Schizosaccharomyces pombe: one gene and its partners. The gene in region 2 interacts genetically with the main gene of each other region. Each region holds a gene or a part of one and is shown on either strand. Other genes may lie near its edges.

Region 1 (4,459 bases), on a different chromosome or scaffold from region 2:
GATTGGAACGTGGCATGGACTATGATAGTGAAACCCTGGCCTATCGTAAGTGGGGGGAGTGGGGGACTCCCCGATGCATTGATAAGTGTGACCCAAAAAAACAAGCGCTAATTCAATGCGCTAAAATACGATAAAGGTGCATAGTGACACGCGTTAGATCATGGTATATGAGTAGCAATATTGTAGCAGAGGAATAATAGGGTTGGTAGTAAACGAGTATATACAGTGTTTATAAACCGAAAGTCGAATAGTAGGAAAAATAGCAGTGATGAGAGTCGAAAGACGAACATCAATAATTTTTGTTTCTGTTTGACTTTTGATCGTTGTTTATGGACTTTTCCGTTTTTCAGTCAGCAGTGGTAATTTGTGTTTACACTCGTATGCCTTGTATGCCCAGAACTAAAGCTCATCTAAGCAATCCCTACTATAGAAGAGAAAAATAAATAAATAAAATAAATAATAATAAAAAAAAAATCTACCTTACTTCATTCAAATTTATTTCATTGGGTTTTATTTTCTTTTTAGTAATCACTTTAACTCACCGCTATTTTGGAAATTGTAGATTTTTTATTGAATATCGCCGATTTTTAGTGTTTTACAAACTGTAAGCCCAATGTCGCTTGAACCCAGTTTTACAGTCTGGATGAATTGATTTTCTTTGTATTACAAAGACTTTTCTATTAAATTTTCATTTTCTCAATTGTATCAAAGACATGACAGCAAAAATCAACTCGACACTATGAAATATACTATATAACAATTGCCTGTTTTATAGATGCCAAACTGATTTTATAAAAAAGAATGTAAAAGAAAATAAATGAACTAAAAAAAATTTAGTTTTCTACAAAAAAGCAAAAAGCCTACAGCACCCCGGATTCCCATGTTGTCTCCAACCATAGTACTAACGAGGCCCTCAGACGCTTAACTGCAGTGATCGGACGGGAACTGGTGTTTTCGCCTAGGTATGGCCGTAGACATTTGCTTCATTAATTTAAACTATATATACTGTAATTAAAGAATGTAATTTATCATGTTTGTTCTAGCTCATTGTAAACAAATACCACTTAAAAGTTCACATTATATTATTTAACATTGAATAATACATTCTCCCTTTGCATTCATTTAACACAAACTTGGCTTTTGTCAAATCAAAACCCCATGTACATTCAACGATCCTTAAAACTGCTACAATGTATAGCACTTGCGCGCTCATAATCTAATATTAAATATACAATTTTGTTGCTTTCTTAATGCAATATGAATGTTTTAAGGGATTGTACGTGAAGAGCTTTAATAAAAGAATTGTTAATAGGGATGCACTAATTGGTGAGTTATAAAATGTAATGATTTTAAAATCATTTATATAAGAAGGAAAACTACCTTCATTTTTTTTCTTTACTAATTTATTTTTCTTTTTTTTTAATGTCATTTTGTTAAATGTCATTATTTTTTCTTCAAAATAATTCTCATTTCCTGGATTATGTCAATTTAATTCTATATATTTTATAAGTTAAATTTCTTTGTTCTTGTAAATAACCATTCTGTTTTCTTTCCTAGATTTTAATTTTAATTTTTTTTTTTAAACTGGCGATTTAATTATCTTCAATTTTATATAGTTATATACAACTTGTCCGACTTTGCTTTCTATACATTTCTTTGTTATTGTAACTCATTAAGAAAATATTTAATTTACATATTATCAAACAGTTAAAAATATTGCATAATTTTTCGTTTCGTTGCAAATAGATTTGCAATCTTCATTTTTTCCTATCCATTACATCTTCAAACCTACCAATCTCTAATTTTGATCTAATTACAAATCTCGTCTAAAATACTATTCCAGTTCGAAACTCTGAAATGCTACAGTGATTAAATTATAAAAGCTGCTGTGTATTTCGACGCTTTGACATACGTGGACGAGTCTAAGCGTAACTGAATTTCTATGCTTGGTTCATGTTATCAATAAGGCCCTAAGAAACTGTTGAAACTACAGTTTTTTTAGTTCCATGAATTTTTTTTGCTGCCATGGACGATGAAGAAGGCAATGCGACACTCATCGATGAAATTTCCGTCCTTGAAGCCAGAAGGGATGTATTGCTTGATGAATTAAAGTCTTTAGATAATGCGACACTGTCCGATCTCGTTCAGAAGCCCGAGTTGTCCAAAAATTTATCTGTAAACAATGAATTTCTGAAAGAGACTCCGTTAAATCAACCTGCACTGCATTATGATCGACTTTCTGGTATTTCCTTTTTCCAACCCAATGATCCTGAGGAGTTATCTAGAAAGACCCTTCTCGTAAAAAATAAAAAGACAGGAGCCATTGAGACTGCTCCTTCTATACCGCTTCTTGGTGTCCGGTTCGATATCATGTTGAATCCAGTAAATATAGGCTTTACGAATCTCTCAGAGAATCCAATATCTTCCGCCTCTGGCATGGACGAAGAACTAGAAGGTGGAAATAGATTTGATGTTCCCTATTATATAATTTTTCGAGTATTTCACGACTCGTTTGCTTTATATAAATATACGATTCCAAGCTTTCTGAACATACAAGAATGGGCTGACGAGTATTTGACTGGAAAGAACCCTGAAAGGTTTAGAATATTTTTGTGGAAAGTAGATAAATTATTGACCGCATATATCTGTCGTAAAAACGCACTTTTACAAATCAATAAGTCTTTGACAATTGATGGGACAAACATATCTGCCAATCTTTCTTGTACACATCTTGTCATTCAAATTCCGAAAGTCATTCAAGCTACCCTTGTTTGCTCTTCAGAATCCACTAGAGTGGTCAAATCAAGGATATATCAGTATTCTGATGAAAACTGGAAAAGAGATCACAGACTTGAACTATCTTTATTAGACAACAAACGTTGGGTTAATATACTTGTATCACACCTAACTGCTCCAGAAAGTCATGCTTCGTTATGATTGTTTATTACCATACTCTTATTATTATTAGACAGGGACTATCTTTTTATACAAAAAACTTTATACTTGTTAGTTATTTACGATTGCACCAAATAATCGTCCATATTCCTTAATTTCCGCCTTGGTTTCATCCTTTTCTCTACCTGTCTCTCCAGTTGCTCTTTCAGTCTAGCCATTCGATTTCCATTTTCAGTAAAATACTCAACGCTTCTCTTGAAAAGGAAGCACATGTATTCACGAGTAATGTAAAACTGAAGCTTTTCGGATGCTGTAAGACATCCTATAGGAATATCCATTCGTAAACTTGTTCTAATAGCCACAATAAACTTCTGCTCACTACCTTGAATTCCTGTTTCCCGAAAACCGCAGCTTGCTGCTACTCTTTGCAAATGCTGAGCATTCGCTAAACTTCTCGTTTGAACATGCAGAATCATGGGTTCAAAAGCGTATTGTATTTCCCGATTTCCTTCTACCGGAGAACTGGGAACCTTTCCGTATTCCACTTTTTCATCTTCTAAAACCGGTGGTAGTTCTTCATGTGCCTGATGACTAACGAAAAGCCAGTATCCACCTCCTTTTCTGGAATTTGCTCCTTGTACATAGACTGAAATTCTTCCTGAACATGAACTAGTTGTTACCCAATCCGGGTGGGAGTTTATAACATCTAGCAATGGAAATATTGGGCTATCTGGGTGTCCTTTGGGTGATGCATCAGGTACGGAGGATTTCAAGCCTTCTAAGATTTCTTTTTTTTGAGCATCAAATGATACATCTATTCCTTTTATATTCATTCAAATTGTTCTTCAAGGAACTCCTTGCAACGACTTAATTCAACTCGTTGGTGGATTCTTACAACTTTTCAACTTGCGTTGTCAACTTGCCAAATCAAGCACCTACATTTTTTTTTCTAAATTCAAAACAATATTTGCAGATTCGTTTGCTCAAACCTAATAAATAAAAGAAATCAAATAGAAAAAATCATTTTTATGGTATTTTCGTACGCGCTTGAGTAATTTATCAATCCATGCAACAAACAAGTTCCACTGTATAATATTAACTTCCTAATTAAGGCTGCTACAAAAACCGTCCCCCACTTTATCTAATTTTATGAAATGAAGCGTTCAACTGGAGGAACGCAACCAAAGGGACTAAACGTCAAAAGGTCAAAGCTCGCTGATGCTAGATTCATAGAGGTTGAATCACCTGCCCTTTCAAATGGTGCTGTAGACTTAAAAAAATTCATTGAATCAAGGAGTTTTGAAATAACGGCTTTACAAGATGCTATGAAAAGATCAAAAGAATCCAGCGCTCAGCGTGCTTTCCAAGCTCTTCCTCGATGTTTACGAAGAAGAGCAGCTTCTCATAATATAAAAAGGATACCTAAAGGTTTAAGGGATAGAGCTTTATATGAAATGCAACTCAGTTCCTCATCTACTTTGCCCATTGCACCTTCCAGACAACGGTTAAAGAGATTCATCAAACGCTTGCGAAGAAAGTTAGCTAAATCAGGTGAAACCAAAGC
Region 2 (3,506 bases):
TAACTTGGCAATTCGCTACCAATACTATTTGGGTCGAATTCGCGCCATTCAACTTGACTACACGACCGCTCATGAACATTTAGTTAGTGCTATACGTAAGGCTCCCAACACAGTATATGCCGTTCAATTTCTGGAAGCTGTTTACAAATTGCACATCGTCGTACAATTGCTTATGGGAGAAATTCCCGAACGCCGCATTTTCCGCCAAAAATCTCTCGAAAAAACTTTAGTGCCTTACTTACGTATTAGCCAGGCAGTTCGTATTGGTGACCTTTGTGCTTTCACTGACGCGCTTTCCAAGTATGAGGCTGAATTTCGCTTCGATGGATTGTATACTTTGATATGCCGCCTTCGCCATACCGTCATTAAGACTGGATTGAGGATGATCTCCTTATCTTATTCCCGTATTTCCCTTCGTGATGTTTGTATAAAGCTTGGTTTGGACAGTGAAGAGAGTGCCGAGTACATTGTTGCTAAGGGCATCCGTGATGGAGTTATTGATGCAAGTATCGATCATAGTAATGCCTTTATGGCTAGTAACGAAGCCATGGATATTTATTCCACCGAGCAGCCTCAACAAGCTTTTCATGAACGTATTCAGTTTTGTCTTGCCCTTCATAATGACAGCATAAAAAGTATGCGATATCCCATGGATGCTCACAAAAGTGAACTCGAAGGTGTGGAAGAGGCACGTAGGCGTATGGATAAAGAAATGGCTGAGGCAGATTTAGATGACGATGAGCCTGATTTGGGCGAATTTTAAAAAACTTATGGAAAGTTTATAGATCTTAAAATATACTTTCAAAGTTGTTCAGTTGTATGTTTCTTTAATGTCTATGAAAACTATATGTAGTTTACAGATTGAAATATTTAGTGAGTTTGCGAAGCTGTAACAGAAGGAAAGTTGTTGAAAAACAGTTTTCGATCGGTGCTACAACGCTACAAATGCGTTTGTTGTTTAAACTGAGACTTGGTCTTTGCACATTGTAATAAATGAGTAATACGCTAAAAACACAGGGGTTTGGAGAATGGTCGTGTGCTTTATTTTCAAATTTGTTGTTTTATATTTCGTATATAATACACGTATGCAAACACATTTATGGTTATGCTGTGAAGCAATACAGATTTGATCTTGGATTATGGTTCCAATCAAAGGTATACTTTAGTCTTTTTAATTATAAATGGCGAAATGGGCAAAAAATTTTTGTGCAAATTTATTTTTTGTTATGCATAACTAGAGCAAATAAAGCAATGCTATAAAATGGCTTCCGGCAGAAAATAATAACCACAGTGGATATAAGCTAGTTTTCTAACGTGACTTAAGTAACACTTTATAAAACCAAAGCTATACATTAGTCTCTCCCATTACCACTTTGTCAATTTTAGCTAAGTTAGTAGATATGATCAACACTATATATTTAAAGTGGAACGGCAAGCTCATTTTTTACGTTATAGTAATTTAACAATTTTGTCGATATTTTGAGCAATGGTGTATTCTGCTGTGGTCGCTACGGCGCATATCATCAAATATCGCCTGTCCGGTTTCTCTATTCGCTAAATACGGGAAGATACTGATATAGTCTATATTGTATTTCACAAGTAAAATAGTTTCTGAGTTAGCCATCATGTCGTCAGTTAAACTGATCCTCGTTCTTCAGTTCACTTACAAGCTCTTTTATTGATAAATCGTTATAATACCGCCCCCATAATATAATATCTGTAATTCTCTTTAATTTTGCCCTATTTGTAATACAATAGTATGCTGGATCCCGAAAAAATTTATCGTAACGTAGCGTATCCTTAAAAGGATAACAAACTGTTTAGCGGGTATTTTGCAGGTACAAAGCAAGTTGCGCCATCCTGAAAAATTGCTTACTCAGACAAAGTCGAACTCGTGTGATTTAGTGCATCCATCGGTTATATGTTATTTCTACCTCCGTCCACGTTCTTCCACGAGCAAACTACTGACTTTGTAAAATCGCAAAAGCAAACCAGTAACGATGGCTTTGAAAAGAATTAACCGTGAATTAGCTGATCTTGGAAAAGACCCACCGTCTTCTTGTTCCGCCGGCCCTGTTGGCGATGATTTATTCCATTGGCAAGCTACAATCATGGGTCCTGTAAGTCGCGGCTGTAATAGTGCCTTGCGCACTGCCAAAATTTTGCTTGCTAGGATTGTGCAGCTAACATGATATATAGGCTGACAGCCCTTATGCGGGTGGTGTCTTCTTCTTGTCCATTCATTTCCCTACGGACTACCCATTCAAGCCACCAAAGGTATGTAACTATTTAGTCTTGTGTAGATTATGTAAATACGCATTGTAAGCTTGTGAATCGGAGGAGGAAGTTTGTTATATACAATATGAATTGAAGAGTTGATTGCATCTTGTTTTTCTGGAAAAATCGGTATGGTTGACAGTGATGCAAAATTTTTTAAGTGTTATGGTGAAAGAGTATACGCAGAAGTTTTTTTATAATTGTTTACTCTTACCTTTTATCTTCATTTCTTTATGTTTTACCAGCGGAACTTTATCGATTTTTATACGATTGCGTCCATCCAAGTGAAGCGAGGGCAATTACATTGCGTAGCATTACGAATCTGATTGATAGTCTTTTTTTTTTAATGATAACTAACAGCATATTCGTAGGTAAACTTTACAACCAGAATCTATCATCCCAACATCAATTCAAACGGTAGCATTTGTTTGGATATCCTTCGTGACCAATGGTCTCCAGCGTTGACTATATCAAAGGTATTACTGTCTATCTGCTCATTGTTGACAGATCCTAATCCTGATGATCCGCTTGTGCCTGAAATTGCGCACGTCTACAAAACTGACAGATCCCGTTATGAATTAAGTGCTCGTGAATGGACTAGAAAATACGCAATCTAGAGTTTGTTTCTGTGTTGATATTAAATATTCATCTCTTTTGCGAATTGTTTTCTCCAATGTATTGTATAGTTTTTTTTTTTTTTTTTTGGTTTTGGTTTTTTAAATAAATAGTAGGGGATGGCGATAATGTAGCTAGTAAAGTTGCATCGTAAAATTGAGGATACAAGCTGCCTTTAAAACAAACTGTATTATGTTCGAGGATAAAGTATGATTTGATTTAGATAATTTTTATGATTTTTTGAATAGTACAAAATTTTTCTTTGTGTTTAATAAGACCGAATGGGTCCAGTTGGATTATTCCAAGAGCGTTTGTGCATATATTTTTAAAAAGGTACGTAAACACTGCCGATTAAGTGAAATATTGTGCAAGTAAAAGTAGAATAACACGAATGGAAAGTCGTGTTACGAAGAGAGTAAACGGCTCTACGTCTTTAAGGTTTTGCTAAAAATATTTATTAAACAAAACTAAGTAATAAACAAATTCCTTGTAGCGCCTTTTTGCTGAAAAGAAAATGATAATACTTGACATGCAATACGAAGTGATACTGCTATAGACACAACTCATAATAGCCAGTCAATTCAACTCCTAGTTTTGTATTTGTCTTTACAACG
Region 3 (4,375 bases), on a different chromosome or scaffold from region 2:
ATTAAAAATCAATTTCTTTTATAATCGCAGCGATTAACTACTAACTCACGTCACACAAGAGAACAAATAAAAAAAATAAAAAAAAAATAAAAAGGTTCCAAATAGCAAAACAGTCTTAAATGAGTGCTTTACTCAATTTGTATAACGGGCATCTCCATCAGACTACAACGCCGCTTTTTACTTGAATATTTGGACGGTAATTATGATTACACTACGAATGTAAAAAATAGGCAAGTTACAGTAATCAAAGTTAAATTTTTAATATGAGTTGATGTGTAATCGCTCCTATAAGATTACTTCGAGATAGAAGGTAAAGGAATTTATAAAAACCATGACGGAACTAATCACCTTAAGATGCTTTTTAACAAGTACCCGAAATCTCTGGAGTTAATCATTTCAACTTTGTGTAATAAATGATGCAAGCATTCTACTGACTTAATATTCATATACATTCAACAGTCTAGCTTACAGTGCACATGTATAGCAAAAAAACATTTTATGTTTCAGCATACATTTTATTACCTTGGAGTACTAGCTTCTAAATACAATACATATTCTCCAATTAGGGCATTTATTCTAGATCAATATTTAAAATATCCACATTCATATTCTATTCCTAAATCATGCACAGTAGTCTAGAATTGTTCAACCTTCAACAATGATTAAATAATTTTCTGAAGCAAATCATCCTAGACAGTGGAAGATAATATAGCTTATTCACAAAAAAAATAAACATAAAATCAACTTAAAAATCATTTATGCCTTTCAACATTATTTCTGATTAAACTGTATTGCCAAAATAATTTTGTAGACTGTTGTTTGCTATTTCTTAAAATATTGAACAAATTTGAATAATCAAGTAGTTTTTTTCTCACTCAGTGCATCAAAAATGGGAAATATAAATTACTTAAGTTTTAAAGTAATAACTGGATGTCACACAAAGATGAAATACACAAAGGCCAAAATAATCATCGAAACTACAAGAAGTTAAAAAGTAACAGGTAAATGCTTCTGAAGTACAGTACAGTTCAGTCTAGTCAATCAGTTGAATACCGGTATGACCTTTGCAATCTTTTCTCCTTCAACTTGCTAAGCATATCCACTGCGCCTCTACTTCTCTACAGCACGGTAAATACTTTGTTTACATGACTAAATAAATCTGTTTACACTGCAGATGGACAGATCGTTGCTGCGGTAACGGTAATTGTCAGTAAACAAATGTCTGAAACCATTTACGGAAACGTAAATACCGTTGCATATGAGCGAAAAATAAACAAGATTAGCATAGCTGGAAGAAGCATTTTCTATACCAAATAATATTTATGATTTTCTGCTTTTTTCTAGTATAAAAAAATCCTACCTCTTCAGAGATCTGGTGACTGTTATTTTTCACTAAAACAAACAAGTGATGTCACGTTTAAAAGCCCGTGAATGTGACTTTTTAAGGGTCAAACACTGCGGTTTGTGTCTCTCCCTTTAAATGTTTATGCGATGAATAACCTTAAAACCAAAGCTGGAATACAAATGAAGTTTTGACAGAAAATACAGCATTGTTTACATTGAGTGTTTACAATTCTCAATCTGTAAAGAGTCGAACGCCTTGTTGTCATGCCAATGTGTTTAACGAGAGTCAAATTACTCGTAAACGTACAAGTTTAGCCAATAAACGGTCTTCAAAGTTTGGTCGCAAGCTCCTCGTTGGTGTTGTGGCCTAGCAACCAGCAATACACAATTACTCATTGTTTACAGTAAACATTGCAACGAAATTGCGCACCTCGTTGTCCCCCTTTTTATCTAACAAGTCACAATTCTTTGCATTTTCCGGGTATATATAGATGTCTTTTCCGCAACTCGCTTCATCCTCAGCGAACTACATTTGAGTTTTAAACACTCTTTTACTTCTTTATTCATTACCCACGCATTCATTTATAAAACATATCATATATATTACCCGTAATATATAGCATATACCTTTTATAAATACCCGCTATTCTGCATATCTTTTGTGGTCAATCTCTGTCTTTTTGATTATTACTACGTTTCCCCTTATAAACGCATTTTACATATTTGTCCTCTTTCTCTTTTGATTTAACAAATTTACCTTCATATTCCCTTTTTGCATCCTAAAAACTATCTTTCGTTATATTTTTCCAATCATATTTCTACATTATATAGTCTAAAGTCAATATGTTGTTCAAATCATTCGCTCTCACTCTTCTTTTCGCCGCAGCTCGCGTACAAGCTGCTTCCAACTGCTCCAGCGGCCCTTACAATATCTCCGCCCAAGGTACTCTTGACGAGCTTAACAGCTGTACTGTATTGAATGGTGATTTGTACATTTCTGATGCTGGTAACTCTGGCATCACCACCCTTACTGTTAATGGAATTGAGTCCGTTCAAGGTGATGTTGTGGTTTCTGATGGTCAATATTTGACCTCTCTTTCCTTCCCTTCTTTGAAAAACGTTTCTGGTGCTTTTAACGTTAACAACATGATCCGCATGAACAACCTTGCTACCCCTGAGCTCACTTCGGTTGGAAGCCTAAATCTTGCTGTTTTACCAAACTTACAGGAGCTTCAATTTAACGCTGGTCTTTCCGATTCTGATAGTGTCGTAATTGATGACACTCAACTTCAAGCTATTGACGGTATCAGTTTGGATTCCGTCACTACTTTCCAAGTAACCAACAATCGTTATATTCAGGAGATCACCATGGAGGGCCTCGAAAGTGCTCAAAATATCCAGATTTCCGCTAACTCTAAGGGTGTAAGCGTAAACTTCAGTAAACTTTCTAACGTTACCACTGCTACTTTTGATGGTATCAGCAACGTCTTTATTGGTAACTTGAAGAGTGCTGCTGGTAACTTGTATTTCTCTAACACTACTCTGGATAACATTTCGGTTCCTTACCTTACCGAAATCGGACAAAGTTTTGCTGTTTTGTACTCTCCTGAGCTTACTTCCCTCAACTTCCCTAACCTTACCACTGTTGGTGGTGGTTTCGTTATTAACGATACTGGTTTGACTTCTATTGATGGTTTCCCCGTCATCTCTGAAATTGGTGGTGGTTTAGTTCTTCTCGGTAACTTCTCAAGCATTGATATGCCTGATTTGAGTGATGTGAAGGGTGCTCTCACTGTCGAGACTAAGGCTACCAATTTCACTTGCCCTTGGTCCAATGATGACAGTGTTATTAAGGGTGATGATTTCACTTGCCAAGGTAGTGTTGCTACCATTTCTGCTACTAGTTCTTATGATTTGTCTTCCACTGTCTCTGCTACTAGTGGATCTGCCACATCTGCCACTGGTTCTGCTACCACCACTTCATACTCTTCTGATTCTTCTGCATCTTCCTCTTCCTCTTCCTCCCATGAAAGCTCAGCCGCTTCTAACGGCTTCACTGCTGGTGCTTTAGTTTTGGGATCTCTTTTGGTTGCTGCTCTTGCTATGTAAGTGTCGTCATGAACAATTTGTTACTTTTTTTATCGAAAGTATAGAAAATTAATATTTGAATGTTACCGATACTTATTTGGCGAGATGAGCTGGCTTATCTCTGGTGATGTGGGTTACTGAAATGTTTATTAATACAGGCCGTTTTATTTTCTTCTTTATAATCGGGTGTGATTAAACATATATCTTTAGAAGAGATTAACTTCTATATGATCTTAGAAAAGTGTTGAGAAGGTTTGATGTTCCTTTTCTTTAATTTGAGCTTTAAATTATTTATATGAGTTGCTCTTAGGCTATTTTCAAAGTTATTGATTTTGCCTTTTTTATAATTAGTCTATCGAATATTTGCATTTAGTATATCTTGAATTTGATTTTTTTAATTTTTAATACAAGGCGCGCGGTAGTTAGTAATAAAATAATTTGATTGGCAAAGATGAGACATAAGGCGTATGATATGCATAACCGAGAGTTAAGAAATTACGAGTAAATGATTAAGTAACTTAATGGGATGTTATTATAGATTGCAAGACTACCGAGTTTATTTACTCTTTACTTAGAAATATAGATTTTATTGTTTTTATCAAAATAGAGGTAAAATTGAAGAAAAATAACAGAATAAAGAGCCAATGTACTGTGGAAAAACACCACTTAAAAGGATGGAATAAACTGCCCTTTAACAAAATTTCGAATATAGTTATTTTTTTCCTTTTGAGCCACCGTTGGCTTCCGCTGCCTTGCGCTCATCAGCTGCACGTTGTTTAGCACGCATAATTTCAGCTTGACTTAAAATATTAGCTAATTGGTTTTTAAACAAAATCCTGATTCCATTCCACTTACGCTTCAAGACGTTTGGTAGGATCTCCGGCTTGTTTCTTTTTAGAAGCTTGAGACTTCTTTAAATTGCGAGCACGGTCAACATCACGCT

What was found.
Region 1: of ubc4 (region 2) and mal2, a mutation in one rescues a mutant of the other (synthetic rescue), as found in Schizosaccharomyces pombe (one study listed by BioGRID).
Region 3: of ubc4 (region 2) and ecm33, extra expression of one rescues a mutant of the other (dosage rescue), as found in Schizosaccharomyces pombe (one study listed by BioGRID).

Annotation. Positions count from the first base shown.
Region 1 is NC_003424.3:4,183,498-4,187,956, forward strand, and holds mal2 (kinetochore protein mal2), read left to right. Parts: upstream 1-1,784; 5' UTR 1,785-2,025; coding exon 2,026-2,937; 3' UTR 2,938-3,014; coding exon of another isoform or gene 3,015-3,728; 3' UTR 3,729-3,919; downstream 3,920-4,459. Other genes in the region: wybutosine biosynthesis protein Tyw3, read right to left, coding at 3,015-3,728; pop100 (Rnase P/MRP subunit), read left to right, coding at 4,050-4,459. UniProt on the Schizosaccharomyces pombe protein: Component of the kinetochore, a multiprotein complex that assembles on centromeric DNA and attaches chromosomes to spindle microtubules, mediating chromosome segregation and sister chromatid segregation during meiosis and mitosis.
Region 2 is NC_003423.3:713,333-716,838, forward strand, and holds ubc4 (ubiquitin-conjugating enzyme Ubc4), read left to right. Parts: upstream 1-1,952; 5' UTR 1,953-2,000; coding exon 2,001-2,120; exon of another isoform or gene 2,121-2,199; coding exon 2,200-2,277; exon of another isoform or gene 2,278-2,435; intron 2,436-2,648; coding exon 2,649-2,894; 3' UTR 2,895-2,979; downstream 2,980-3,506. Other genes in the region: 19S proteasome regulatory subunit Rpn3, read left to right, coding at 1-763. UniProt on the Schizosaccharomyces pombe protein: E2 ubiquitin-conjugating enzyme that catalyzes the covalent attachment of ubiquitin to other proteins. Mediates the selective degradation of short-lived and abnormal proteins. Mediates ubiquitination of pex5.
Region 3 is NC_003424.3:1,569,073-1,573,447, reverse strand, and holds ecm33 (extracellular leucine-rich repeat domain, receptor L domain-like Ecm33), read left to right. Parts: upstream 1-1,858; 5' UTR 1,859-2,187; coding exon 2,188-3,453; 3' UTR 3,454-3,835; downstream 3,836-4,375. Other genes in the region: SPOM_SPAC1705.02 (uncharacterized protein), read right to left, coding at 4,145-4,232, 4,288-4,375.